2 linked regions of the Xenopus tropicalis genome follow. Each later gene encodes a partner of the first gene's protein in a complex. Links are inferred from orthologs where the notes say so. Each region holds a gene or a part of one and is shown in the gene's direction. Other genes may lie near its edges. The genes, in order: itsn1 and fchsd2.

What was found.
Region 2: the proteins of itsn1 (region 1) and fchsd2 are in contact, whole or in part, in a crystal structure (PDB 6GBU), measured with the Homo sapiens proteins. The link is inferred for Xenopus tropicalis from reciprocal best matches to the Homo sapiens genes ITSN1 and FCHSD2. Residues at the interface, in NP_003015.2 of Homo sapiens: Pro1076, Ile1078, Gly1098, Leu1100, Leu1102, Gln1117, Ala1118, Arg1119, Gly1120, Lys1121, Lys1122, Arg1123, Leu1136, Ser1137, Pro1138; in NP_055639.2 of Homo sapiens: Tyr576, Gln581, Thr582, Asp584, Glu585, Gln602, Asp603, Asp604, Asp605, Gly606, Phe607, Val618, Pro620, Val622, Leu623.

What each region holds. Positions count from the first base shown.
Region 1 is NC_030678.2:14,135,629-14,151,604, forward strand, and holds the start of itsn1 (intersectin-1), read left to right. Parts: upstream 1-3,741; 5' UTR 3,742-3,975; intron 3,976-15,976. UniProt on the Homo sapiens protein: Adapter protein that provides a link between the endocytic membrane traffic and the actin assembly machinery. Acts as a guanine nucleotide exchange factor (GEF) for CDC42, and thereby stimulates actin nucleation mediated by WASL and the ARP2/3 complex.
Region 2 is NC_030678.2:172,216,709-172,232,162, reverse strand, and holds part of fchsd2 (F-BAR and double SH3 domains protein 2), read left to right. Parts: intron 1-3,772; coding exon 3,773-3,889; intron 3,890-5,880; coding exon 5,881-5,985; intron 5,986-7,774; coding exon 7,775-7,936; intron 7,937-9,352; coding exon 9,353-9,487; intron 9,488-10,086; coding exon 10,087-10,170; intron 10,171-10,697; coding exon 10,698-10,875; intron 10,876-11,112; coding exon 11,113-11,333; intron 11,334-11,843; coding exon 11,844-11,973; intron 11,974-12,440; coding exon 12,441-12,523; intron 12,524-12,752; coding exon 12,753-12,836; 3' UTR 12,837-15,454. UniProt on the Homo sapiens protein: Adapter protein that plays a role in endocytosis via clathrin-coated pits. Contributes to the internalization of cell surface receptors, such as integrin ITGB1 and transferrin receptor.

The sequences.
Region 1 (15,976 bases):
TCTTGACCCGCCATGAAAAAGTAGAAGCGACCCGTGTAGGGGCAGAAACGAGGGGCCTGCCCGACCGATATCTGGCCTGAAATTGGGCAGATATCAATCGGGCAGGTTGGAAAATTCAGTCGGATCGGGGACTGCATCGGCTCATTAATGCGATCCCCGAACTGACTGATCCATTGCCGCCAATATAATTCGATCATTTGGCCCCAGGGCCAAACAATCAAATTATTTTTTTTTTACCTACACACTCCCCGATATCGCCCACCCGTACGTGGGGATATCGGGTGAAGATCCGCTCACTTGGCGATCTTGCCAAGCGAGCGAATCTCAACGTGTATGGGGACCTTATGTCCACCTTTAGACAAGAACCCCAGTGTGATATGTGCTGATCCCGGTAACATGATTGTCCTAAGGAAATGAAGGTGTAAATACTAAATAGGAATTGCGCACTTCTTGATTTGATTACAATATTAAAGGCTACACATAGAATGTTGGTGTATGCCACGTTGTTGAAAACCGTCGTAAGGTAATAAGTCATGATGTGATAGGAGGCACAGTGATGCCTTTGTCTTCCTGAGGAGTAAATTGATTGTAAGAGAGAGTCCTCTCTTACCCCCATATGTAATAAACCCCAGGAGCAGTAACCAATAGCAACCAATAAGTTGACTGCTTTTAAACAGGTGAGCAGTAAATGCTTCCTACTGATTAGCTGCTATGGGTTATTGCTCCTGGGCAAACTTAGTGACTTTTATTATATAACCCCCTTAATCTGAAATCTCCCTATTTGGTTCACGAGGGGTTACAACCAACAATATACAGCTGAGCCATAAGCATACCCCAGGGAACATTTCATCACAATACACCATAAGTGATAAGCGGGCAACATTGTTTATATTTGTATGTCGCAACAAAGTTCCCAATATGACCTTATAACAGCTCTTGGTAAAGCAGGGTGTGTATTTTAAGTGGCTTTAAAACTAATAAGGTTTTATTATATCAATAAATGTTACGTTTTAATGGTGATGGTTAAAAGGAGTGCTGCAATAGGTAAACTTTTCTGTTTGGTTCTTTAATAATTTTTTACACTGAGCACCCTTAAAGAAATATTGTCATGGGAAAACCTATTTTCTTCCAAACCATCAGTTAATAGAGCTTCTCCAGCAGAATCCTGCATTGTAATCGGTTTTTCCCATGGGGCTAGCCATATTCTTCATTTCCCAGGGTGCCACAGCCATGTAACCTGTGGTCTGATAAACTTCAGTCACACTTTACTGCTGCGCTGCAAGTTGAAGTGATATCCCCCCCTCAACCCCAGCAGCTGATCAGCAGAACAATGGGAAGGGAGCAAGATAGCAGCTCCCAGTAGATATTCTGAATAGCACTCAATAGTAAGAAATCCAAGTCCGGCTTGGGACTCCTCCAGTTACATGGGAGTAGGAGAAACAATAGGTTAGCTGAAAGCAGTTCTAATGTGTAGTGCTGGCTCCTTCTGAAAGCTTAGACTCTGACTTTGCGCCACTTGCACAGTAGAGTCTAAAGCTGAACGTTAGAAAAAAAATATGGCTTTCCTCTCTACTGGGCATGTGCTCGCTCCGGGATTTCAAGGACAGACGAGAGAAGGAAGAGAATCACAGGTTCACAGCTACCCCAGGCTGATGATTTGGGTCCTTCAGACCGATTCGGCAGCTTATCTGCTCATGTATGGGCACCCCCGATGGACCTATCTGATCGATTATCTGGCCTAAAATTGGCCAGTTCTCAATAGTGCAGGTTTGATTTTCCCATCGGATCAGGGACCCCATTGGTTCATTGATGCAGTCCTCGGACTGATGGCCCATATACCTGCCATCTTAATTTGATCTTTTGGCCCTAGTGCCTTGCATTGTGACCTATATTACATTCCCCCATATAACTGTAAAGCTGGCCACATGACAGTAAGCTGCCAACTCAGTCTAAATGGGCCAAGATGGCAGTTTTAAACAGCCCACACATGGGAAGAATAAGTTCTCAGGGGAATGGATTCAGCAGGACTAACAAGTTGTTAATAAAGATGGATAGTTTTGTTGTGCAGATGGTAGGAACCCCAATAACAATAATAGGAATTACCTACTTAAAACAGAACAAAACCTGGAAATATATGTTTTATGGTGTTGGTGGTCCAGTACTTGAGGTCAGGTATTTGTGAATGATCTATGGCAGATAAATGGTTAAAGGGGAAAATCACCCAAATACAAAAAGGAATTCCGAACAACTTTCCAATATACAAAAATGTAAACTTTTTAGTGACAGACATATTTCTAAATGCATTTGCTTTTAAAAAGTGGTCTTTCTGACCCTCGCTATTCCCTCTATTGTTAAGCTGTACCATTAAACAACGTAGGGGTATCCAGGCATTTTCCAGCCAAGAGTCCAATCCCCATAATGCCTATCATGAGTCTGTGATTCTGTACAGGCCTGTTACTCACAGAACACAGCTTTCTTGCCCTGACCTTATAATGTTCACACAGCCAACATCCTTCCACAACGCCTTCATTCCATTATTCAACCTAACACCCCTACGCTATAAGATCCCCCCAATTCTCCCTGCGCCTGGGATCTATGGAACAGAGGAGAATCAGAGCCAGACGGCACAACCCACCCTGACCCTGCTCAGCAGCGCCCCTTCTGCAGAGTCCCCCCGCATCATTGTCATGTGACGCATAGCTACGGCAGCCATCTTAAGGCCTGGCATATTAACCTCAACATCTGTCTTGCCAATCTAACGCATTCTTTCTGTATCCCTTATTTCTGAAGTATTTTTTTTTATTGTACTCTGTATCTTTTTATAAAAACTGTGTTGTGATTCATGATTTTATGTTTTTATGTTCTGTGAAACAAATGTTAATTATGAATTTACTATGAACTTGGTTTCAATAAAGCTCTTTGAAACCTTATTGCTGAAGTATTGCTTTCATAGTCAGTGCAAAGCTCCTGAGTGAAGGGTAAAAATGCAAAATGTCTTGGGCCCCTTTAGGGCAAAGACACACGGAGCTACTAGTAGCAGCTACTTGTCACGGCTACTAAAACAGACAATGCTGATCATTTACTGATAATTGTCTCTACATGTGTTTTAGCAGAGGCAATTCTCAGTATTGTCTATGGCAGGGTATTTTCTGGAGTTTAGTAGCTGCTACTAAGTATCTCCGTGTGTCTTTACCCTTATCTGTGTCTGAGCAAAGTGGTTTACATAAATGAATCAATCGCACCCTGCATAATCCACAGTTGCTCAACTAAAGAATAGGTAATATGTATCTATAGCATAAATAAATTTGAAGCAACTGGACTTGTTTAGTTCTCAGTTGCTTCAAATTTATTTATACTAGATATACCATGACCTGGATGAATGAAAATCTTCATAGACATGTATCTATAGCCTTCCCGAGGCTGGAAGCTCCTTATAACGTCCTTTCTGCCCAACCCTATCTCTGGATTAATGTTTCCAATCTGTCTTTGTCACATGCTATGCTTTACCCCTCACATAAAGGTTTAAGTGTTAGCGCCCTCAAGGCTAATGGCCGCCGTAGACACCAGCGGTGTGAGTCATGTGAGGAGTTCGCTGGCGTGATGACGACACCACACCCATTGAATGGCAGGGAGAAAAAGAACGCGGCATACTATTGGTTGAAGCTACAGAATAGGCGTGTCTTTCCTTGTTTTTGATTGGGCCGGCACCGCGTGACGTCAGAAAGCGGGTTGGTGGTGTGGGTGCGTAGTATTGGTGGGAGGGGACGGCGGTGCGGGGTGAGGGGATCCGCACTGTACTACAGGCACAAGGGGAGAGTCGTACGGACACGGGCATTGGGAGAGTAGTAAGGGGAGGAGGGGCGCTGAAGCAGAGGGCATGTTGCCATACAGCCGAGCTGTCTGAGAGGGGAGCCGTATTGGACATAGCCGGTGCTAATCCCTGTGGCAGAGGAGAGGGTGGAGGACCGCTATGAGGTGAGAGCTGTGCCGGGGCGCATTATTATCACCATTAAATATGATTAATGCTTTGCCTGGATTATGTGCGGGGTGGAACAGCTGCAGCCACCAATGGCTCGGCAAATGGCTGAGGGATATGGAGTTGGGCGGCCAACATGGGATTTGGGGATTCAGTTAATTACATGGCAATGCTTGCAATTCTGTATGTCAGTGATTTCCCCATGCTGATGTCCTGCAATGGAATAAACCAACATAGGGGAGCACTCTAGGGAGACAAGCAGTGCTGGCTGGGGGGCTCCACCCAAGGGAGAATGGCATAGCCATCTACCAATTCATTAATACAATGTATCTGCTACCAACAGCAGCATCCTTCTGTCTATATGCCTTGTGTTTCTGACTCCTGAAACAATGTAGCAGAACCCTGGGCAGATGTGACATTGCAACACTGTTTCACAAGTCAAGGCTAAACACATAAATGTTGCCTGAAAAGCAATTACATTTACTCAAAACTTTGAGCTTTAACATAAAGTGGAAACCTACTTACAACTGCATATTCTTCAACTAATAATAACTACAAAAGATATAAACACATTTTATTGACCCAAGGTCCTTGTAATGCTTCTATAGGGGGCCAGTACATTGACTTACATAGGCATTGAGACCCCATGGTTTTCTTTGTATATATAAACCGTCATATAGAGGGGCACCTCTCTGAACAAATATGGCTTACTGCTATGTATGTATGTATACAGGATCAGGGCAATAGGCATTATAGCTAAAAATATGTGTTTCCTAAATTTCAGTTTGTCATTATTATTTGGATTTTAGATGGAATTTAAATTAAGTAGCAGTGCCATATTTATCATGAATTGTAATGTAAAAATGATCTATATCTATCTATCCTTCCTCCTGGTAAGGGCGGTCCAATTTCTGTTTGAAGTGCGTTTCCCAGGTATTCATTTTTTAGGAATCTGTTGCCTTCTAAGGTGTCATTTAGTCTCAGCACTTTGATTTTCAGCCAATGTACAGGTATGGGATCCCTTATCCGGAAACCTGTTATCCAGAAAGTTCCAAATTATGGAAAGGCCATTGCCCATATACTCCATTATAAACAAATAATTCTAATTTTTATAAATGATTTCCCTTTTCTCTGTAATAATAAAACAGTACCTGTACTTGATCCCAACTAAGATATATTTACCCCTTATTGGGGGCAGAACAGCCCTATTGGGTTTATTTAATGGTTAAATGATTCCCTTTTCTCTGTAATAATAAAACAGTACCTGTACTTGATCCCAACTAAGATATAATTACCCCTTATTGGGGGCAGAACAGCCCTATTGGGTTTATTTAATGGTTAAATGATTCCCTTTTCTCTGTAATAATAAAACAGTACCTGTACTTGATCCCAACTAAGATATAATTACCCCTTATTGGGGCAGAACAGCCCTATTGGGTTTATTTAATGGTTAAATGATTCCCTTTTCTCTGTAATAATAAAACAGTACCTGTACTTGATCCCAACTAAGATATAATTACCCCTTATTGGGGGCAGAACAGCCCTATTGGGTTTATTTAATGGTTAAATGATTCCCTTTTCTCTGTAATAATAAAACAGTACCTGTACTTGATCCCAACTAAGATATATTTACCCCTTATTGAGGCAGAACAGCCCTATTGGGTTTATTTAATGGTTAAATGATTCCCTTTTCTCTGTAATAATAAAACAGTACCTGTACTTGATCCCAACTAAGATATAATTACCCCTTATTGGGGCAGAACAGCCCTATTGGGTTTATTCAATATTTAAATGATGTTTAGGAGATTTAAGTTACGGAGATCCAAATTATGGAAAGATCCCTTATCCGCAAAACCCCAGGTCCTGAGCATTCTGGATAGCAGGTCCCATACCTGTACTTGCACCTAGATGGTTAGCCCTAGGGGAATTTCTGTGCTCTAGAGTGTAAGCTCTTGTGAGCAGGTTGGGGGGCACTTGTGCTAGTTTTTCCTCACTGTTGTGGAAGCTCTAATGTTTGATAAATGATGAAAAGGCTTGGCTATATGGGAAGTCTCACCCCCTTACACAGTGACCCCACCCCCCCATGTTTGTAGGTCACCGCTCCCATCACAGCTTTGGCAGGTTTTTATATTGCCTCCTTCCTAGTGATAACGTGCAGCGCTGGATTAGGAGACATGACGCAAGCAGCTAATGTTTCAGAGCAATCGTGGTATCTGGGCTTCGTACACTTTCTCATTCTCCCTATGAAGGGATCCTCTGTGAGGAACGACCCACCCTATTCTGGCTTGTACTCCTATTCATTCATTGCTTGTCCTTTCATTGCTGTTGGCTGTGCTGAGTAATTTGGTGTACTACCAACATTAGAGATCATTGTACGGTCGTATTTCGAAATAGTCTCGCTACTAACCATTCGTGTTCCGACCTTTTGCCAATCGTCAGGGACAGATAAAAACATGTAAGTTGCATCCTGTTATTAGAGTGTGATGGGTTTTTCCTGTTTTTAGAATGTGATGAGTTTTTACTTCAGCTGGTTATCGCTTTAGATACCCGCAGTCTGGGACAGATTGTAGTTTACCACAATATCATAAAGGGGCAGTATACCCTCTTGTTCAACATAAGTGCAATGAACAGAGCTTGTGCTTATTGTACTTTTAGCCTATTGTTTACATCATGAAAAACTGTTTTTTGTTGTAATTTTTTTTTTTTACGCGGAAACAGGGAGTTTGCAAGGTAGATAATTAGATTCAGTATACAAGCTGCTCCCATTTTCCTGTTGCTCCCCAACCCCTTGGGTGTTGCTCTCAGTGCCCCCAAACCAGGGAGTTATTTTTGAATTCCTGACTTGGGGGCAAGTTTTGGTTGAATAAAAACAAGATTTCCTACCAAATAAAGCCCCTGTAAGCTGATAGGGTGCATAGAGGCCCCTAATAGCCAATCACAGCCCTTATTTGGCTCCTCCATGAACTTTTATGGTGCTTGTGTTGCTCTCCAAGTCTTTTTATATTTGACTGTGATTCATGAGTAAGAAAGCTTGGGGATCCCTGGTTTAACTGAAGAAATAACAAGAAAACATAGATTTTTCATGGTTAAACCAATAGGCAAAACTTATGTTCAGCACAAGCCCTATTAATATCACCAATGTTGAACAAGGGGGCATGCTGCCTCTTTAAAGGGGTAGTTTACATTAAAAGTAAGCAACAGATTTATCTGATTTATGGGTGAGTTTTATAAAAACTCACCCATGTTCTCATTCCTATGGCATTTTTTAAAAAAAAAACGTTTTTATCAATGGGTGAAGGTTAGAACTGACCATTTCGTAAGTACACTTCTAAAAATCAGGCAGATTTACTAATCCACAAATCCGACTTTTTCGTCGCCGTCACAACTTTATCGTAATTGTTGCGACTTTTTCATCGCCATCGTGATTTTTTCATATTGAGAGATAGTAAACGGCGGAAAAAACAATCCGATTTTTTTCACAATGGCGACGAAAAAGTCGCAGAAAATATACGAAAAAGTCGCAATGGCGACAAAAAAATCGTGGGACATACAAAAAAGGTGCAAAAATACCGATCATTACGAAAAAACGCATTCGGACACCTTCAGACCGTTCATGGAGTAGTAAATCTCCCCCTTAGTATTTGAATTACTTATCTTTCGATTTAGTCTCTCCCGTAGTCATCTTCCAGTTTTCCACTGCCTGGTTGCTAGGGTAAATTTTACTAGATAGCTGCTGACATTCCAGATTGGAGGTTTACTGAGAAGCTAACTAAATAATTAAAAAAAAAAAAGTTGCAGATTGTCTCAGAATATCACTGTCTGAATCATACTAAAAATTAATTTAAAGGTAAACCAGACCAGAGGTAGAATGTATAAATGAATTTACATTATGCCTTTAGGTGTGTTCTGGAACAAGCATGAAGTGCTTATTAAACAGGCAGATCTCCCCTTTATAATAGCCCTAGCTATAAACTTGAGTTAATAATATTTACATGACAATATAACTCTCTGAACTATAACAAAACTAACTATACTGGACTAAGAAAAACATCTACTGCTTTGTGGGATTTGCAACAATCAGTTGTAACAAGTACTTCAGAATAATCCAGCTGATACACTTGTGAATACTGCCCCAGACCCTGAATAAACCATGTTGTAATGCAGGTAGTAGGGTCACACGTGAAACGATTATTTGGTGCACAAAAAAATCATCAATGTATCCAAAATGTAAAAAAATTGACCAGACCAAATGGACAGAGGTGCCTTAGTGTAAAGACCTGCCGGGTCTGTTTGTTTCAGGCCCGCACCCAACCTGTACCTGCTTGCCCTAAGCCTGACCTGCTCCAGCAGAAGGAGTTGCGTTGACCTCAAGTGTCGACATAACTCGATTCTGGACGAGTTCCGAACACTTTTTGGGTATCCTGCAGGTACCCAACCTGATGCAGGTCTCTACCTTGGTGCTCCATGGTCTCTGAGCTCCTCCCTCCTAACGCGTTTTACACCATTGGACTCTCCATCAGTGGAGGTATGGTATCCCAGGTAGTTTCACTTTTTGCATCTAAGGGCAATGGCACACTGCGAGATTAGTCGCCCTGCTATAAATCTTTGTTACTGGGAGCAACTAATCTCCCCGCAATGCCATCCCACCAGCAAGAATGTAAATCTCCGGTGGGATGGCATATGCGTCGCTTCTGTTTCCCGAAGTTGCTTCACAAGGAAACTTCGAGTGACTTTAAGTAACTTAAGCGACGCGTATGGCATCTCAAGACTAATCTCCACGTGTGCCACAGCCCTAAGGGTGAAGACAAATAACTATTAGCAGCTACTTGTCATGGCTACAAAAATAGACAATGCTGATATTAACTGGTAATTGTCTGTGTGTTTTAGCAGAGGCAATTCTAAGTATTAGCAGGTATTTTCTGGTGCTTAGTACCTGTGACAAGTAGCTGCTACTAAGTAGCTCCTAACGCTCTTGCTGATTATCACAACTTGTTCACAACAGTGTACAATAGTGCAAACATACATCAAACATGATAAAATTAAGATTGACAAAGATTGCACCATAGTAGTCCATTACCATCCATAGTAGGTGCTGTGCTCTTTGTTTATGGGGAAATTTCCCCGTATTTGAAACACCTGTAGCTAAACATGAGTTATGGGTTGGATATATTTCTAAGAAACAGAAGGGCCTATGAAATAGCATGTTTTAACACCCACAGAAATGTTAGAGATTTTTATCAGCCTTGGGGAAGCTTCTTCCTTGTTACTGCTCTTAGGAGGCACAAACATGTGTGGCAGGGACAGCAACGGATCAGCCTGTAGTTGCAGAGCAACATTCCATGTATGGGGGGAATTCTGGCTTCATTGCAGCAGCAAGCATATACACTACTGATTCATCTTTAGCAGTATTATGTCTCCATTTCTAGAGTATGGCAATTACAGCTTCTATTTGTAACCTTTACAGACGTAAGGTAGCCATACACTGTAAGATTCACTTGCTTGGCTAGGTTGCCAAGCGAGCAGATCTTCTCTTGATATCCCCACCTACGGGTGGGCGATATCGGGCTAATTCGGTCCGGCTTATCTGCCCATGTATGGGACCCTCTGACAGGCTTCCCCGACTGATACCTGGGCAAACATTTTTCGTTGGATCAGGGGCCGCATCTGCTCATTGATGCAGTTCTCGCTCCCACTTTTCCTTTTTTATTCATTGCAAAGCAATCATTTAGCCCAAGGTGGGCATATCAGGGGAAAGATTTCCTCATTTGGCGGCCTTGCCAAACGAGCAAATCATTACGTGTATGGCCCCCTAAAGCTGGCCATACACGCACCGATACTATCGTACGAAGCCTCGTTTCGTACGATATTTGGTGCGTGTATGGCATGTCGGCAAGTCGACCGATATCGCAGGAAGCTGCTGATATCGGCTGACTCGCCGATCGGCCAGGTTAGAAAATTTTGATCGGGCGCCATAGAAGGCGCCTGATCAAAATCTCCCTTCAGTGCTGAATCGGCAGAAGGAGGTAGAAATCCTATTGTTTCTACCTCCTTACCTGCCGATTCAGCCCTGAATGGTGTGTGGCGCATCTGACGATGTTTCGTGCGACCGGTGGTCAGATCGCCACGTGTATGGCCAGCTTAAGTCTGTAGCATGTAACATACTGAGTAAAACCAATATAAATTCTTCTCTTTTGAAATATTGAGCTACCTCAGTCTAATTGCACACCAAGAATGCAGGTTAAAAAATGTTTGCTGAGATTGCATCTCTGATAGCTTATCCCTTCTTGTTAACTGGATGTATTGACTATAGGTGCCCATACACGGGCTGATTTCATTTCAGCTGCCGATATTGGTCCTTTAGACTGATGCGGCAGCTTATCTGCTGGTGGATAGGCACCACCGTTGGGCTTCCTCGTCTGACATCTGGCCTAAAATTGGCCAGCTCTTGATCGGGCAAGTTTGATTTTTCCATTGGATTGGGGACCTCATTGGCTCATTGATGCAGCCCCCGATCTGACAGCGCCTATGCCCATCGTTTTATGCGTTCATTTGACCCTAGGGAATTAGAATTAGCCTGATATCACCCACCCGTAGGTAGGCATATCGGGAGAAGATCCGCTTGCTTGTTGACCTTGCCAAACAAGCAGATCTTAACCTACGGGTGGGTGATATCGGGGAGCTTGAAGTTAAAAAAAATATATTATTTAGGCGGCAATGGGGCAGTCGGTTCGGGGACCGCATCAACGAGCCGATCCGACTGAATCTTTTAACCTGGCCGATCGATATCTGGCCAATTTCAGGCCAGATATCGGTCGGCCAGCCCGCTCGTTTCTGCCCTTACACGGGCAGATAAGTTGTTGATAAATGAAGCCCCAGTTATTTAATATTAATAGGGATGTTTCGGGATGCTTTATTTCTCTGAGGTTCCTTGTGGGTGCTATTGGGGTTATGTAATAAAAGGCACTAAGTTTGCCCATGTGCAGTAACCTATAGCAACCAATCAACAGGTTGCATTTACTGGTCACCTGTTTAAAAGCAAACATCTTATTGGTTGTTATAGGTTACTGTTCCTGAGCAAACGTAGTTCCTTTATCATGTAGGGGGTATATATCTAATGTCTCAGGATGTTTTATTTTTCTGAGGTTACCTGTGTGGGCTATTGTTATAATACACGAGCCATGAATATCCTGTCAATTAGATTCTTATAAATGATGCTTAGTGATCTCATCAGTCATAATTGATGCTCAGTGATATAATTTGTGTGAAATGACTTGTTGAAACTTGTGTATTATAACAAATAAAGTACCCCTTGTTGTAAAATATTAGATACTATAAGTCACCTTGGAGTTCCATGACCTATATAAAAGCATTATATGGTAATAGAACTCCTTGGTGACATATGATATTGTTATATTTTACAATAGGGAGTACATTATTTGCTGTGTATCTTATTCTTAACAAATATGCTATGAAAAAATAAAAGGGAAATTTACTTTTTAACATTATTTAGGCAGTGGAATTTTTACCATATGTTTTCCTTTACCTTCTGGCCAAATACAGAGCGGTATAGCAGGGTGGGCGATGCCTTGGTTGGCTGCATCAGTTTCATTCGCAGGTTCCATGATGCTTATCTCTGAGCAGTATTATGTGCACTGACAGGCAATCAGGTCCAATAAACGAAAGTTTCCAGTATCTGCGCTCTTGGTTAGCGGTCGGGGAACCTCAGCCAGGGGTGGCGTAGCCTAACATAACAGCCACCTGTCTCACTGCCTGCAGGTATGGGGGAAAAGGGTTTTTTTTTTTTGGAGACTCATCGATGCGATTGTGGATTGGTACTGCGCTGGGGCACTACTGGGTAAAAGGCGATAGAGAATTTAGTTCCCCTTTAATATTCTGTTCAGGCTTTCATTTAAATTCGTGTCCCAAGCAGACACCAGGGTACTGGTGGGCACTGGTCAATTCCTGTTGCCAACAATATACACTGCTTTGTTTTTCCCAAACATTAATGTTGTCCATTCGGGAGCCTAGTGTAGCCAGTGCACACAAGAAGTGTCTAAACAGAAAGAATGTTCTTAATTAAACAGATCGATGTGGGTTCTGTCTCTGAACAGCTGTGAGAGGTTTTCACATTCAGGTTTTATGGCTCCAATTCACTTACTATTGTGATTATTCAGCTGTGATATTGCAGGAGAAATTAGCCACCAACTATTACACACAGGTGTGTCCCTTAGATTGTAAGCTCTTGTGCTCAGAGCCCTCGTGTTGTTGTGCTCATGTACAGAATCTATTGGTGCTCTGTAATTGATTATAATAATAATAATATGCCTGTAATACTTTGGGGAATTCACAAAACTGGAGAGAGCCCTTTTATTTGGAGTAAAAGTGGTGGTAAAACTGAATATGGAGAAAGTGTTTTACGCCAAACAGAAATTTGCCTAAATTCCAACTCAACCACCACTTTTCAGTGTTTGATGAAAGAAAGACAGTTTACAAACACTTTTGTGGATTTGTCTTATAAACAATATTTTAACAGCATTTTTTGTGACGTTTTCAAAATGGAGTATAACTCCATGTAACTCTGCCAGATCAATTCTAAGCTCTTCTGTTTTGATTTGTTTCACCCAGTCTCCAATCCACACCTCTTATAGGAGTGCCATTGGGGGGATCATCAGCATATTAATAGGGATCAGCAGCCTATTGTCAAGGGACAAGTCTATAGGTGGCCATACACGGGCCAATTGTAGCTGCCGATACCGGTCCCTTAGACCGATTCAGCAGCTTATTGCCCCGTGTAGGGGCACAAATGACGGGCCTGCCTGACCAACATCTGGCCTGAAATGCGCCTATTTCAGTGTTCCCCAGGGCCAAACTACCGAATTAGCCCCCGTAGGTGGGGATACCGGAAGAATATCCGCTCGCTTGGCGAGGTTGCCAAATTATCCTAAATTCACTCTATATCGCAAGATATTGCAGGTTTTGGCCCATTCTGCTTTGAACATTCTCCTAGGCTTAAGCTTTTCATAGATGGATTAAATTTGAGGACATTGATCTGGGATGCTCATTGGTACAGTTTGGTGATATACATGGGTGGCCTTAGGCTGATGCCACACGTGGCGTTTTTACGCTGCGTATTTTCTCAGCCTAAAAAGGCCGCACAAGCCACACAGCCCCTGACTATGGCGTTTTTCAGCCTAGTACTGGTGACGTAGCAAATCCCGTTTCCCATGGTGTTAATAGTGCGAAATAGTCAAAAACGCAGCGCATTTCCGCTAGGTCTGGCAGCTGCCTTTGTGTATACATAGGAATAGCTTGCTGTGCAAATAACGGCGTATTAAGGCAAACGCTTCAAAAATCTGTGGTAAGGCGTTTTCTAGCGTATTTACACATTGTGTGGTTTCCTTCAAGTCTTTTCAAGTTATTTCTATGGATGATGATATTGTGCGTTTTTCAGCCACCGAGAGAATTAGAAAATACGCAGCGTAAAAACGCCACGTGTGGCATCAGCCTTACTGTTCTCATACCTGTTCTCAAACCTGTGGTTTGGTTGCACCCTTGCGGCTTTATTCCGTGCCTTTATTCACACCCCGATATCAGCTAGATGGCTTGGTAGGTTGGCTCATAGTCTTAATGGTAATCATCTAGTCTGTATGAAAACTGTGTGTGTGGTCAGCTTTGCTTGGTTATTTTTCAGGCATCTTTTCCTTTCTCCTGGTAGGAGTTCTCCGTTGAGTGACTGGTGTGAAACCAAGTTGGCCTTGTACCATAATTCCAGTGCGGTGGAATCCAAGGCTGATTGCTTTCCAGATGTAAATGGATCATGATTAATTTTGCTATATGGGAAACAGCTGATATGGATAAATCATAGGCAACAAACTGCAGAACGAGCCAAGGTCACTCTCTACTGTGCTCTGATATAGGCCTCTTTAGCCTTCTAGGAATATTACATTCTGTGAGTAATAAGAATGACACAATGCTGCATTCAATGTCTGTATTAAACAATCTCTTACACATATATTCCTTAATACCTAATAAAAGCTGCTTAATTAAATGCCTCCCTCTGTCATCTAGCTATGGCATTTTCAGCTGGCAGTGGCTATCCCCACTTGGATTAGTTTTACGTGATTTGTTTAATACCAAGTGGGAGGTGTTCTAGGCAGATTGTATATTTAGTTTGTGGTTTTAGAGGTTTTTTTCATTTGAAAGTCTGTGAATATGTGTGGAAAAACGTAACAACCACAAAAAATGTGTGGTTTTCGTGTTCTTTTCATTTTCGTTCCACAATTACATTTGTTTATGCCTTTTCAATTTATCTTTTAATAAATGACTTTTAGATAAAGAGAATCTAGTTGCGGTTTCAAAAACCTTCGAAACCACTAAAATGAGAGTGTTAATAAATGGGCCTGTAAATGTTATCTCCTGGGTTACAGTAGATGGATCTTCTCTTTGTCTCTCTGTTTTGGGCTGGAAATAGATTGAACAGGGACTGGTAGCAACCAAAATAGAGTCAAAATATTTCTTAATCATGATGCTTTGTGAAAATAATGTACAATTTTGGAAACGCAACTTAATTATAATAGTGTTCATTCATTTTATTTTTCCTTGGGGGACCCTGCACAAGTCCAGGATTGCACTTTTTTAGGGTTCCAACCCAAGTTTAAAATCCTGTCTGGCAAGGACTGTATCGGTGGGTTATCTCCTGATGACAATCGACCACAATGATGAGTTCTGATCACTGCGTGCTAAATGATTGTATTTGGGTTACTGTGTCAGTCAGGGCCGGAATTAGGGGTAGGCAGAAGAGGCAGCTGCCTAGGGCACAACGATTGGGGGGCGCCAGGCAGGAGCCTCTCCTGCCTACCCCTAGTACAGTACGCGATCAGCAGTTGTGTGCTGCACTGCTTTGCATCGTACACTGCGCCGGGGGGGGGGGGTGCGCAATGTAGGTGCAGGGGCGAGGTAGCCGAACGGGTTGCCTAGGGCACCCAGTCGGCTTGGCCCGTCCCTAGTGTCAGTGGCCATGATCCACGTCTTTGGTGGATTTTACCATGTATGGCTTGTTTTAAAGGGGAACTCCACCCAAACACAACATAATTCAAGCAACTTTAGTGTTAAAAAAATACACAATCTTTACATGATTTTTTTATTTAATAATATGGTTTAGAACAGTTCCCTAAGCGCCGCCCCCTGTTCCCCTGCTGATCTGGCTGACTACTTTGAGACTCAAATACAATGTAACAGTAGTCGCCTGTCCTCAGCCTGCCTTCAGCCTGCCTACTCCCAATCCCACAATTCCCTGCACACGTGATGTCAATAAGGAAAGGAACATCACATTGCAAGGCATTGTGGGCTATGTAGTTCCTGCATGCTGTCCGTACGCTGTGGAGAAGTTGTTACAATTTGTTACATGAATGTTTTAGTCCCTCCTCCCCTGCCAGGATTTCAAATGATGCAGAAAGAGAAGAACTGTTTTGCAGCTGCATTTCAGCATATAAAATGGTACTTATTCATACTTTTTGAAGGAACAGATTACAGTGATAGGTATATTAGGGGTTTCTGTGTTGCGTGGGGCTCTTTAACAAATTTTGGTTGGGAAGGCAGAGTTCCCCTGTAAGCAGTTATAGGCAGAAAGGTGGTTAATGAGCAAATGCAAGTCCTGCAGTAGATTCCATGTGCAGTATGAATGGTGGTAAGAAGTACAAGCAGCCCCATCATGGCAGTGGCCCTTGTGTGTGTCTCATATACCCAGTGGGCAGATGTACAAGTCTCTAACTAATATTTTTCATCAGTTTCACATAATTCCCCCTAGCTTTAGCCGCGCAGACCGGCTGTATCCGCCAGCGTGAACTCCTGCCCTACATTACTGGCACGGTTAGTGGTGCCATGGAGGATGTTTAGAGGGATTAGCAGTGTTTGAAATGTAACCGCAAAGACAAAAACATTGTTAATGCTGTAGTCATTACTTAATTCTGCCTGGAATAGATGCATTTTCTATTGATGTCT
Region 2 (15,454 bases), about 160 Mb from region 1:
TTCCTAGTTACCGAAATTGCTAGCCCTAGCAACCATATATTGATTTCAGTCCCTAAACTGGGAAACTGTAGAACAATAAAATAATTAAACATTTTTCTTATAGACAGTGGTGCAGATAGATTGTGTTAAAGGTATAGCGCCCCCTTGTGGCACAGAATCTCTAGCTGGGGATTGAATTTGTCTCTTCCTTTCTTTGGCCTTGGAGAATTCACGTACACTCCAAGTGTGCCCAAGATGCCAGGAGCAGCTGGGAGACGAGAGCTATAGAAATCACACGTTATAATTATAACACTCTCTCTTGTGGTACCCGTTGTGCGTCGCCCCCAGAGACGGTATGTTCAAGGTTGTCAGAGTGGCGCTGTGAGCGCTCAGTGCTTCTGGCAATCGGATCTTCTTTCGTCTGCGTGAATAGATTATATTATTTACAGAGCCATAGATATCTCTCTGCCTCGGGATTCTCCCGCACCAGAACATGTCTACCTGCGCGTTTAACATGGCTGTGTGTGGGGTTATATAATATATATATATATATATTATACATACTTACATACATATACATACACTGTATATATACCCAGTTTTCATGCTGCAGTAAATGACTGTATTTCTTCTCATAGATTCCTATCTTCCGTGCCACTGTGCCGTATATCATTGCTCAGCACTGCAACACAACCACTTTATTGTGGTGGCCTTGGCTCTGGCCTCTGCTCCCAATTATTTTCCTGTTTATTGTTGCTCTTTTATTGGAAGCTTTATGTGCAGTTAGATTGAAATTGAATTTTAGTTTAATATAAGGGTGAAGACACACTGAGCTACTAGTAGCAGCTACTTTTTCAAGTCTACTAAATCCCCTGCCATTGACAATACTGGGAATTGCCTCTGCTAAAACACACGTAGAGACAATTATCAGTAAATGATCAGTACTGTCTTTTTTAGTAGCCACGACAAGTAGCTGCTACTAGTTGCTCTGTGTGTCTTCACCATAAGGGCTCTGGCACACGGGGAGATTAGTCGCCCGCGGCAAAACTCCCTGTTTGCGGGCGACTAATCTCCCCGAGTTGCCTTCACCTGCCATCCCACTGGCGAAAATGTAAGTCGCCGGTGGGATGGCACACGCGGCGGCGCGATTTCGCGCAAATCGCCGAAAAAGCCTCGCAAGGCAAGGAAGCAACGAGGTTCTAAGCTGAGATATGAAGGAGTGTGCCACAATAACTACTATGTAATCTAGGCAAAAATATGCCCTTATAAATTGTTGTAACTACAGCTCTCCAGGGTTTCTTGGAACTCGCATCTGCTTCAAAATCTGAGCATCGGAAAAAGCACGGGAGCCAGTGTTTCACTGACAGGCATGATGCTGTTTATTACAGGCCCTACCCAGTTACCCATCATTTTCTTTAAATGTGCCACATGGTGTCACTGAATCAATGAAGGCAAGACACACCTACAACGAACAGTTTATTACAGGCCCCTCCCACTTACCCATCATTCTGCATGTATGTGCCACAGCTGATCACTAAAGCAGTAAAGAACAAACACGCTAAGATATGAGAGACACCTGATGTATTGTACTTGTTACTGGTCCACTTACCCAGCATTCTGTGCGTCACATGGTATTGCTGAATCGATAGACAAGAAACACCTACAAATGAGAAACACCTCATATAAACAATTTGTTACAAGCCCCGCCCATTTACCCAACATTCTGTGTGTATGTGTCACATGGTATCACCAAATCAATGCCATCACGCCTAGATATGAGAAACATCATATAAACAGTTGGTTACAGGCCCCTCCCACTTACCCATAACTCTGTGTATGTGTCACATGGTATCTCTGAATCAGTAAAGGCCAAACACACCAAGACATGAGAGATACTTGTTATAGGCTCCTCCCACTTACCCAGCATTCTGTGTGTGTCACATGGTATCACTGAATCAGAACACACCAAGATATGAGGAAAACCTTATGTATTCTACTTGTTATAGGCTCCTCCCACTTACCCAGCATTCTGTGTGTCACATGGTATCACTGAATCAGAACACACCAAGATATGAGGAACACCTCATGTATTCTACTTGTTATAGGCTCCTCCCACTTACCCAGCATTCTGTGTGTGTCACATGGTATCACTGAATCAGAACACACCAAGATATGAGGAACACCTCATCTATTCTACTTGTTATAGGCTCCTCCCACTTACCCAGCATTCTGTGTGTGTCACATGGTATCACTGAATCAGAAAACACCAAGATATGAGGAACACCTCATGTATTCTACTTGTTATAGGCTCCTCCCACTTACCCAGCATTCTGTGTGTGTCACATGGTATCACTGAATCAGAAAACACCAAGATATGAGGAACACCTCATGTATTCTACTTGTTATAGGCCCCTCCTACTTACCCAGCATTCTGTGTGTCACATGGTATCCCTGAATCAGAACACACCAAGATATGAGGAACACCTCATGTATTCTACTTGTTATAAGCTCCTCCCACTTACCCAGCATTCTGTGTGTGTCACATGGTATCCCTGAATCAGAACACACCAAGATATGAGGAAAACCTTATGTATTCTACTTGTTATAGGCCCCTCCTACTTACCCAGCATTCTGTGTGTCACATGGTATCACCAAATCAATGCCATCACGCCTAGATATGAGAAACAACAGTTACAGGGCCCCTCTCACTTACCCATCATTCTGTGTATGTGTCACATGGTATCACTGAATTAGTAAAGGCCAAACACACTAAGGGGTATATTTATGCTGTGTAAAAAGTGGAGTAAAGCATTACTGTTGATGTTGCTCATATCAGCCAATCAGATGTTTTGCTTTGGTTTTTTAACTGTTGAAATCTAATTGCTGATTGGTTGCAACATCACCACATGATAAATATACCCCTAAAGGTGGCCACATGTGGCGATGTCGCACGAAACATCGTCAGATCCGCCACACACCGTTCAGGGCTGAAACAGCAGATAAGGAGGTAGAAACAATAGGATTTCTACCTCCTTCTGCCGATTCAGCCCTGACGGCAGATTTCGGTCAGGCGCCTTCTATGGCGCCCGATCAAAATTTTCTAACCTGGCCGATCGGCGAATCGACCGATTTCAGCAGCTTCCTGCGATATCGGTCGACTCGCCGACATGCCATACACGCACCGAATATCGTACGAAACGAGGTTTCCTACATTATTATCGGTGCGTGTAAGGCCAGCTTAAGACACCAGAGACACTTGCACTTACCCAGCATTCTATGTGTGTGTCACATGGTATCACTGAATACATAACAACAAAACAAACCAATATAAGGAACACCTCATGGTATTCTCTCGTTATAGGCCCCTCCCACGTACTCATGATTCTTTGTTTTATGTAACATGGTATCACTGAATCAGTAACAACACACTAAAATATAAGGAACGCCTCATAAAAATCTGCTTGTTACAGGTCCCTTTTATTTACCCATCATTCTGTGTGTTACATTGTATAATTGAATCAGTAAAGGCCAATGTCAGTGTCTGTGTAACTAGTTGCATTATTATGTATAAGCTGCGTTTCATAATGATTTGCTGAGCTGCAGACCAATTTGCACCAATCCCTGTGTTCTGTTATCGACTTTATTTTCATGTATTTTTCTTTTAAAATATGAAGCATGCCCTGTCATGAGTAGCTGATAACCCGTCTCTGCTTCAGTTCCATTCTCCCTGCTCAGAAAGCGATTGTTACAGCGAATGAGCTTGTGCAGCTAAATATTGCATGTTGTATTGCAGAGCCGACAGCTGGAGTCTGAAACCGGCACTACAGAGGAGCACAGCCTAAATAAAGAGGCTCGGAAGTGGGCTACTCGGGTGGCACGGGAGCACAAAAATATCATCCATAGTCAGCGGGTAGGTACTCCATGACCACACTCCAAGGCAAAGTAAACCTGGCACCAACCCCAGGGGAATAAGGGGCTCATGGGGTACGGACTGAAGAGAAGTTTTAAATAAGATTATGAAAAATGTGTTATTCTTAAACTGTTTTAACCCAGTAATTTTGAGTTACTCCACTGGATGGGGTTACCACTGTCATACGTCAACCTCCATTATGTATAGACATAAAAATGCTTGCATTGCACAAATGCAGCCTCTGTATCAGCTCACATGCCCTCTATGTTTGCACAGAGATGTTCCTACCTCCCCTACAGCAACTACAAACAACTGGCCTATTGAAATAAACCTTTAAAAGGAAACGCATTTCATGCTTAAGCACTTTATTTATTCTGTTTACAGTAGAGGGCGAGGGCACACCTTATTGTGTACATTCCCGCTGTGCATATTTGCATGGATACTTTAGAAGTGGCTGATATATAATATTTGGCTTGCCTCAGGCATTCCCTATAAAGCTCCACGCTGCAAAGCTGTATTTATATAAGAGCAGAACATGTTGCTCTGTGAGGCAGGACTGCAGATGGGCAGTGACCATTGCAAGCTTTAGCTGTGAGTCTAAAGGTGGCCATACACAGGAGGATTTGCTCATTTAGCAAAGTCACCAAACAAGTGGATCTTTTCGTGATATGCCCACCTAAGGTGGCAAACGATTGAATTAAAACTGCGGGCAAAGGCGCCATCGGGAGGACCTGTTGGGGCTGCCCATACCCGGGCAGATAAGCTGTTGAATCAGTCGAAAGGACCCAAATCAGCAGCTGAAATCTGCCCCTGTATGGCCACCTTAAGCCAGTAATAATGAGCATTAGCTGACTGGCTTTACACCACAGTATCTGTGGTCGTAACCAAAGTTTATAGTCTATAGCAGGGGTCCCCAAGGTTTTTAGGGTGAACCCAGTAGGGGCTATGATTGGTTATTTGGTAGCCCAATGGGAACTGCCAGACTACAGGGGGCTCAGTTTGGCAGTATACATGGTTTTATGCCTCCAAAACCTGCCTCCAAATCAGAATTTTAAAAATGAGCATCAGCTTAGAAAGCCATTGGTGAGCCACTGGTTGGGAAACACTGGTCTACAGCCGGGGCCCCAACCTTTTTTACCCATGACCCACATTTAATTTTAAAAAGAGTTGGGGAGCAGCACAAACATGAAATGTGTACCTGGGGGGTACCAAGTATGGGCTGTGATTGGTTATTTTATGTGGACTGGCAGCCTACAGAGAATCTGTTTGCCAGTACAACAGGTTTTTATGCAACCAAAGCTTGCCTTTAAAATGAGCACCTACTTTGAGGCCACTGGGAGCAACATCCAAGGGGTTGAGGAGCAACATGTTGCCCCTGAGCCACTGGTTGGGGATCACTGGTCTATAGCCATAAGTCTATTTTACTAATGTCTGTGGGCCATGCTTTAGCTTAGCCAAGCAGTGTGGCAGCTTTCATTCATGCTTTAAGCAATATATGTTGTAGTAACACAGAAGAAACTCAACTGTACCCAATAGATGTACATCATTTATAAGAAGGGGCTGATACTGTGCGATAGTATATAGGTTATAGTAAGGTAACATACATATGGATGCCTTCTTGCTGTTGGAGAGCATCTTTCAGTGTCAACGCCAGGAAATATTCTGACATAGACTAATCTCCCCGAAATGCCATCCCACCAGCTAGAATGTAAATCTCCGGTGGGATGGCATACGCGGCGCGGTGATTTGCCAAAATTGCCTTGAGAGGAAACTTCGGCGATTTCGCTCCGTGTGTTTTCACCCTTAGTCCCACTGGCAAACAATACAGAGAGAATCCTCTTTAGCTCCTGATATTTAGAATACTTCTAATTCCTGCATCAGAGCAGTTGATTCCCCCCCTAGGCCTGATGTGCTGATCCGGGGAATACATAACCCACAGTACTGCCTGCAATCAGAAAATTGTACTACAACCTTCTGTCTCTTTTATACAGGCCCTGGAGGAGCTGGAATGTCAGACCACCCCAGTTTCAGAGCAGAGCCGGATGGAACTGGAACAAAAGATAGAAGAGACTAGAGAGAATATGCGCAAGGCAGAGGTAAGTTGTGCCATCTGTAACACTGGGGTAAATCGGGGGGCCAACAAGCAGTGCAGTTGTGTTGTGCTCCCAGATTTTAGAACTTTGCTTGCGCACAGAGGCAAGATTTGAAGCAAGAACTTGCAGCAAAAGTCACTGGTTGCTGATGAGTATTATGTCCCAGTAAGGGTTAAGGCCTTAGGCAAGAATATGAGGACTCTATCTGTCTCTGGTTTCACGACAAAGGGCAATATTCTTTGTCGCCTGATTCTCTTCCTCAGGTGTGACATTGTTTAGCGTCCCTGTGTCTGGTTGCTGCAGGGGTTAGGTTACCGTATGCCCTTTCAGATCAGAAACTTCAACACTTCATTGGCCTGGTTACTTTCCCATGGCTGGGGGAGGCTGTTTCGTAATGCACCTATGACTTTCTGGTCCGGTATTTCCCATACCTAGAGTGTAAAGTCCATAAATATTGGATGCAGATCTACCATCTGTACCGCATTGTTAAATAAAGGGGAAGTAAGAAAGATAATCTAGGCTCTAAATTGCCCTATTGCTGCTGCTTATACCTCAGATTCTTACTTTCATTATCTAACTCGTGTTTCCTTATCTAACTCGTGTTTCTCCAGTTTCCTTAATAAAGATTCACCCAGATCCATTTGGTTTTGCCCAAATGCTCCACGAGCAATTACAATTACTAGCAACCGCTTTCAGGGGGCATTTACAGCTGAGGGCACTAGCGTATCTATATAGGGGGCAAATCCAATGACCTATTTTGTGTTGCCTTTCTAATAAGGTCTATATTTGGATTTGTAATATAGCTGTGAGAACATTAGCAGCATGGTGGCACGCACATGAGGTTGCAGGAAGATACTGGATACCTAGGGCAGCTAATGATTATTTGTGCTTGATTAGACAGTGAGAATTGCCAAGCAAAAGCTCTACCCTCCTACCCTTTCACTTAACATGTAATTTATCTATCTGGTTATAAGTTACTTATCTGTCTTTGGTAACTGATGCCTTGTTATGCTTCATTATTGCTAAGTCTAATGTCCCACAGGGAGATTAGTCACCCACAATAAATTTCTGCTAACGTGGGCAACTGCTCTCCCCTAAATACTTTTCCACCGGCAGTAATGTGAACTGCCGGTGAGAAGGCATACGCATCACTAAGATGCCCGACGTTTCCTCGCAATTGGCAAAGCAAATGTCTTCCCACCAGGAAGCCAGTGATTTCTAATTCAAAATTCAAAGGAAATGTGTCCATAGAAATGGTTAGCACTGCTTCTGCCTCTGGATCCTAAGTTCCTTTGTGACCTGGAAACCATCTGCAAGGAGTTTATGCTTTTTCCCATTGTCTGTATAGGTTTCATGCCAGTACTTTAGCTTCCTCCCACATACCAAAAGCATACAAGCAAGTTAATTGGATGCAACAAGATTGGCCACGTGAATGTGATAGGGACCTTGGAATGTAAGCTCACTGGGGCAGGGGCTGATGGGAATGTGATAGGGACCTTAGATTGTAAGCTCCACTGGGGCAGGGACTGACGGGAATGTGATAAGGACCTTAGATTGTAAGCTCACTGGGGCAGGGACTGATGGCAATGTTATAGGGACCTTTGAGTGTAAGCTTCACTGGGGCAGGGACTGATGGGAATGTGATAGGGACCTTAGATTGTAAGCTCCACTGGGGCAGGGACTGATAGGAATTTGACAGGGACCTTAGATTGTAAGCTTCACTGGGGCGGGGACTGATGAAATATGCCACTATATAAAAAACAATAACAAATAATGTTCTATTCCTGTACAGATTACAAAGCTAAAAGCTGAAGCCCGACTGGATCTGTTGCGGCAAATCGGTGTGTCGGTGGACACGTGGCTGAAGAGTGCAATGAATCAGGTGATGGAGGAGCTGGAGAATGAGCGCTGGGCAAGCCTCCCAACCCTGATGAATAATGGCTCCTCCCATATGGTATAGTCACATTACCTCTATATATAATATAATATAAAATATATTATATTAAAATGCACCTTATTTACGGTTGCAGCTACAGTCACTGCAAAAAAATGGCAACCTGCAGCTCATGAATGACTTCTTTTTCTATTATTGCCCAGTGGGTTCTGTTCCAGCTGTTGCCAATCTCCTATTCGATTGGGCCACATATGTGCTGTCTCATGTGTGCTGGGTATATCATTTGGGTAGTTACTAATACTAAGATCCTTGTCATTCTGTGATTGCATTAAAATGGAAGTGAATTAGGATTTACAGTACTTACTGTAATTAAATCTCGCCATAAAACCACAGGCAGGAACAACCCAAAGCAATGTATTTCCGAGCTGCTGATTGTAAGTTAAATCTATTACCGGCCTATTGCCCTTTAACATGAGGAATTCTCTATATTACAAGTTAATGAGCCAGTGGGTGTCTCACCATAAATCATGCTCCCAGGTTATGAAACGCTGGCCGGCAGTCTGATAAACTGTCTGGGAGGCACCGGCCGATGAGTGGCACCTCATTTACAGCAAATGTAAATGAAAGGAACACAAGGCTGGGAATGTGTAGTAATTGCAGCGTGAGTCTCCGGTGTCACAAGGGGAGCGTCTCGCTTACTCATTAACTCCGGCTTCTTGTGCTGAAAGGCAGAATTCTCTAAATGCCAGTGCTGAAAACACTGCAGTAAATAAATAAAGTTGTACAGTTACACATCTGTTTAAAGAGACAGCAGGCCTTGTACCACAAAGCTTACAGTCCAAGCAAGATAGACACAAATACTGTAGAAGGGCAATAGGTGCTACCATTCATCGTGTACTATGGATATCTGTGGATTTGTCAGGTTTTACACTTTTTTACACTTCACCTTTAAGTATGTTATAGAATGACCAATTCTAAGCAACTTTTTAGTTGGTCTTCATTATTTATTTTTTATCGTTTTTGAACTATTTGCCTTCTTCTGCAGCTTTCAAATGGGGGTCACTGACCCCGGCAGCCAGAAACGATTGCTCTGTGAGGCTCCAGTTTTCTTGTTATTGTTACTTTTTTTTATAACCTTTTCTATCCAGTCCCTCTGCCATTCATATACCAGCCTTCTCATTCAAACCAGGCCTTGGTTGCTATGGTAATTTGGACCCTAGCAACCAGATAGCTGCTCAATCTCCAAACTGAAAAGCTGCTAAACAAAGTCAAATAACTAAAAAAAAAAAATACAAATAATAAAAAATAAAGTCCAATTACAAATTTTATCAGAATATCACTTGCTACATCACACTAAAAGTTAATTCAAAGGTGAACAACCCCTTTAAGGTGAAGAATAGCCACAGCGTTAGGTGTGTTGTTGGTTTTGATGTTCCCCCGACAGAAGGCCTGATTTCTTTGGTTGTTTGCTGACAGGGAGGCACAGATGTGGATCGGGAGGATGGAGAGGAGTTGGAGGACAGCATGGATGCCTTTGATGACAGCAGCTCCAGTCCTTCTGGCACCCTACGGAACTATCCGCTGACTTGCAAAGTCATCTACTCTTACAAGGTTTGTGTGAGTTCTTGTATCCACAGGCCAAATCACCAGCAGGGTTCACCATGGGGCATCTGGCAAGTTATCAGGGTTGTACAATAAGTGGTGCTGGAACCAGTGCTAAATAGGAGTTGTGCTTTAAACAGCAGAAAATGCCATGAACAATACTGAGAATTGCCTCTGCAAAACACACAGAGATAATTATCAGTAAATGATCAGCATTGTCTTTTTTAGTAGCCACGACAAGTAGCTGCTACTAGTAGCTCTGTGTGTCTTCACCCATAGCCTTATAAATGTACAATATTCGCTGTTGCTTCTGGGATTTACATCTGAAGGAAAAAGAAATCATATCTGCCCAAGTACTGTAACATCAAAAAGAACTATATTGCCAGGTTTCCTTTATCATGGTTAAGTCTGTAGGGCAGACTGATTGGACACTATGGGTTTTAGACCTAGGGCCAACTTTGTTCTTGTTACTAAGTTTCATCCTAAAGTATTCATTGGGATCTGGGTATAGAATTGATTTTCTGCTGCCAAAATCTCTGCCAACCCCTGGTAAATGGCAGCAGGTTCTCTATAGGGGCTTCTCTAATCTTTAACTGCTCGCCTTGTAGGCCTCTCAGCCTGATGAGCTGACTATAGAGGAGCACGAAATGCTAGAAGTGATTGAAGATGGAGACATGGAAGACTGGGTGAAGGTACGTTGGTCAGACACATTATATTGGCCACAGCAAGAATATGTATTGATCATTAAAACATTGTAGTTGCTTTAAAATGTATATCAGATATTCTATGTACTACTGAGTCATTGCATACCCTATTATTGTGCACCCAGAATAAATTTGGTATTTATATCTATGGGTGGGAGGCACCATATTGTCTCTCTTTAACATTGCAGTTTAAGGGTATCTAATTGCATGCACGGAACATCACCTTTGTATATTATTTTTTTACATAATGCCATATAGGTTATGTCTGCTAAGGCATTCTCAATAGACATTGAGTAAACCGCACTTTGATAGCCTGGCTTGGTTTCCAACAAAGTCCGTAGGAAACAAACTGTATTGTGTAAGGGTGTAAGTACCCAGATTTTCAGGGGATACTGGTTGGTAGTGTTATACTGTATGTCTCCCATTAACTCCCATTGAAGCCAAACAGATCACAGGGTGAAGTGCTATATTCACAAGGCTAATGAGATTATACAACGTGTTTGTCTCCTTGGCAGGCGAGGAACAAGTCGGGGCAGGTGGGGTATGTACCAGAGAAGTACCTCCAGTTTCCTGCATCCAACAGCCTACTGAGCATGCTCCAGTCCTTGGCTGCACTCGATAGTCGCTCCCACACTTCCAGCAACTCTAACGATGCTGATATGGCCTCAGGGAGCCTGAATGGAGACACCAATGGTAAATCCGCTTTCCTGCTACTTTATGTTCCCAATCAATGTTATTAATCATTACTCTTTATTTCCAGTTTACAGTGCCCTCCTCAGGGGCATTTGAGCTTTGAGGTTTTGGCAGCTTGAGCTATATTTTCATTTAATAGGCCTTATAGGCCAGTAACTTGCTGATATTCCTATTGCTAGGCCACACTGGCTACCCTCCCTTTCAGCATTTTGACTCTGCATTTTCTTTGTTCCTCAGTCTGTTTCGTGAAAGCACTTTATGAGTACGATGGCCAGACCGACGATGAACTGTCATTCCCAGAGGGGGCGATCATTCGAATCCTGAATAAGGAGAACCAGGACGATGATGGATTCTGGGAAGGAGAATTCAACGGACGCATCGGGGTCTTTCCTTCTGTGTTGGTGGAGGAACTCACTGGGTCTGAAAATGGAGACGCCCAGTGGTTTGGCGATGTTCAGGTAAGCAACATTGGCTAAATAAGATGCTATATTTTTATTTCTTGGCTCAGCTGCTCAACAGCACCCTCTAGAGGCCACACACACTATAGCTGGCCATGAGCTCTGGGTGTGGGAGATTCTCTAAATATAGAATTCACTACTAAATATAGAGAAGATGATTTAACTGTCGGCACGTGTAACCTCTTGTTCACAGTGCTGGTCTCCACCCTGGGAAATGACTTTTCTATAGATGCCATAATAACTACCCTCAGAACAGGGGTGTGCTACATATAAAGCAGCTTTTGGGCAGGAACGGATATATCTTCTTCCTCGAGTTGCACCTTTCTTTTTATTTAGAAGCTGAACCACAGATTTTTTTTGCAGCAGGAAGAAGAGTTCCTACATCTAACTTGATCCTAGGCTTGTAAAGGCTGATGGGAGTTGTTGTTCTGCTTTATTGCCCCCTTATAAACATAGGTCAAAAGTATTTTTCTTTTATCCAAAAAATATTTACTTATTTTTGTTTCCCAGATATCGCCATCTCCGAAGCCGCAGAACTCTCTTCCCCCGCTGCCTCTATATGACCAGCCTCCCAGCAGTCCCCTTTACAGCCCAGACAAGAATAACGCCCAGTACTTTCCTCGCTCGCCTTCTGGGAATGGTAAGTATCTAACTCTTTCTATTAGTAAGTGAAATAACAGATATTTTGCCTTATCAGTGTTGTAAACCCTATCTGCCAAGTTGGGCAGGCTCATTTAGGGTGAAGTATTAAAGGAGCAATTTGGTAAGAAATAGGGATGCGCCAAATCCAGGATTTGGTGTGGGATTCAGCCAAGACTTTATCTTTTTTGGCAGGATTCTGATTCGGCTGATTCTGATTCTGGTCACATGAACAGAAGTAAAAAAAAAAAAATGTAACTCTTCCATAGACTTACTTGCATATGCAAGTTATCTATTTTTTTAATTTATTAGGAGTCCAAGTTGGTACAATTTTTGCCGACTCCAGGTACCCACAATTGCTTCCAACTCCACAGCTCTGTATAAAAAAAAAAAACAATGCAGGAATGATCAATTCTGAGTTTGATCTCAGTATTTATTAAAAAGCTCTATATTTCTTTCTTTGTTTAGAAAACAACATGAGTTTGGATTCCCCAGGGACGTCCCACCCACCCAGAAGCATGCCGGAGACTTACCATAGCAAGCTGCGCCCTGTAAGTTATCTTTTCTTCTATCTAGGTTCTCTGTAATACTGATGAATCTAGTTATCTGGACTTACTACTGAAATCTGTCTGCTTCTGTGTGCATCTACCCAGCAGATATTTAATTTAAGAGTAGCTAATGTTACATTAGGCCATCTGCTGGTAGAAGGTAGTATAGCGGTTTATATGAATTACTCCTTAAAGACACACACTCTAACCCGTATTGCTCCTCCAATCACAGGTGCGCGCTGCCCCTCCACCACCCACGCAGGCACAGAGGCGGCCGGCCGAGAAGGCAGAAGATGTCGAAATAACGTTGGTGTAACCACGGGTTTCCCAAACTCTGCTGACATCAAGGCCAAAGGACCTGTTTGGTCGAGACGTTCAGGCACCTTCTGCATGTAGCGATCCATGTCATATCAAGGGAGGAGGATTTTCTACGGCCGCGGACTTACATTGGACATTTTGTGCCTTTTTTTTTTTTTTTTTTCTTCTTTTTAATATAAATGTTATCAAGCCTCTTTTAGCACAAGAAGCAATGAGGTTAAAGTCGTGCAATGTAGGTGAGATCAGCTTTGTACAGAACGGCAGGGGCGTCCCTTACCTGCTTAACATTAGATGGAGACGTTGGGTACCCGTGGATACTGTTAGGCAGTAGCCTCTTCTCTGCACTGAATATTCCTTCTCTGCATGTTTGTACCTGGGAATGGGTGATGCCATAGTGCTTGCCTCTGTAGACTCATAATTCATCTCCTTGCTGTTCTAGCGAAGCTGGCAAGCAAAATGGCAGCACTTGCTCTAATATATAAAGGCTAACAAGCAAATATGTAATTCTGCTTATAAAGGCACCCAAGAAAATGTTGACCATCAGTCCGCCATCTTCTGTTAAGCAGTTTGGGCACCCCTGTTCTGAGCATAGACGAGCCCCGCAGAGGTTGCACCAATGAGGACGCTTGGAAGAAGCACCTCCCCCGGCTCCTGTGCCAAGGCTGTAGAATGACCCAATACATGCAGCATAGTCATAGAATACTTCTATCATGCGCGTTAGTACAGTATATTACTGTTGCCATAGGAATGTGTTAAGACTGTCCGATATCTCCGGTTCTCTGTATATTGAACGGATACAAACTCATGGCACCTCCTTCCTGCCCCCAGAATCCCGCGGTGCATTGCAGAGCAAAGTGCTGCCAACGTGGCAGGAAAGGAAGGTGAATTCAGACTAAAAGGGGGGGCTGGCTCCTCTCGATTTTATTCCCGATGATACATAACACTGTACCGTGTCTCTGCCCATTTCTTCCATCATTAATCATTCAGATACTATGTAACAAAGTGATGTATGGATATTTAAGCAGCTCCAGAGCTTTGGATAGTGTGAGTCTGAGAACCCACTCTGTAACTTGCACGCCTCTTTCTGCTGTTGGACTACGTTTCCCAGCATTCTCTGCTGGTTGAAACTCCCGGGGCCAAAGGCTCTGCCGGACCATAGGAAGCATATATATATATATATATATATTTCAGAGGCTTTCTCTTATCTGCTTGTACTTTATTTTTCTTCCTTCTATTGGAAGCACTTACGGTGCTGCTTGTGTAGGCAAATGACGGAACTCTGCAGAAAAGCATCCTATCAGCATCTGATTGTAACTGTTTCCCATTCCTGCTCCCTTCCGACTTCCTGACAGATTTCCTGACTTATCTGGGACTCTTCTTATTGTTTATTTCCCCTTTATCTCTCATTGGATGAATGCGACTGTGCTCACAGACGCCCCTTTACTGGCGCAGAGGATCCATGGGCACAACTGAAAAGCAAAGAGCCAATCAACACATGGATTTTTTTTTCCGGCTATCTGAATTCCACGTGTTCTGTGCCAACCTGGCTGAATTAACTGCTTTTGTCCATTAAAAAAAACACAAATGGAGGTACTGGTGACATCACAGTGACATCATTGTGACATCATTATACGCAAGCAAGTCTCCATAAGCGTTTTGCACCTTGTGGTCTTAAAAAACATGGAGCAGAGACCACAGCCGGGTCCGGAACCAAGTCCACCAGGGGATAAACCAGTGACGCCAGTATACGATGATAATCCACGTGGGATTCGTTACGTCTAAATTACATTTAATTACAGTGCAAATGTTTTAACCCTGTATATAGGTTTTATTGGAAAAATCCACAGATCGATGAAACTCTATTTCCCCCCCCCCCCCTATTATTTTGTGCCAATTGTAATTTAGGAACATTGGCTCCGCCCCCACACCCCGACCCCCCCCTGTGCTGATTGTAGAGAGCAGAATGTATGTAAGTGGTTGGCCGGCGTGGCGCCAACTGATTGTGCAAGGCTTTTTTTTATAGAGCCAGGATTTTCCTTGTGCAAAGGAACGGCCGTGTTGTTCTAGGTTGATCATTGTTCTAGGTTGATCATTGTTCTAGGTTGATCATTGTTCTAATGCTTGAATGGTATCTTCTTGGAAGATTCACTTTAAAAAAAAAAGAAAAAATATCTTATTTCCCCTCGTTCGTGTCTTATTTTCTTGTCCCTTTATCGACTGCACCTTCTGTAAATGTGTTTATCCGACACGATTTGTACATTAATCCTATAGAATGGAAACGGGACTGCAAGTCCCAGCATGCTTACCCCAGCTGAGCTGGTAGGGGATGCTGGGAATTGGAGTTCCTATTACAGCTGCAGTGCTATTAACTTGTGTCTCTCGGACCCCAGCAATCTACCAACCCCTGTAGAGGATTCTGGGAGCTGTAGTTGCAGCAACCGCTCGAGCGGCACCAGTTAGTGATCAAATTTATAGGCTTGGAAATGGGTCGCCTTCCTGATATTGTCCAACTTCCAGCATCGGGGCAGTGATTGGACAAAATCTAGGAAACGCCCACTACTGCCTAAAGTCGCCCAAACCCTGTTATCCCCCAGTGGCCCTATATCTTGTAATTTC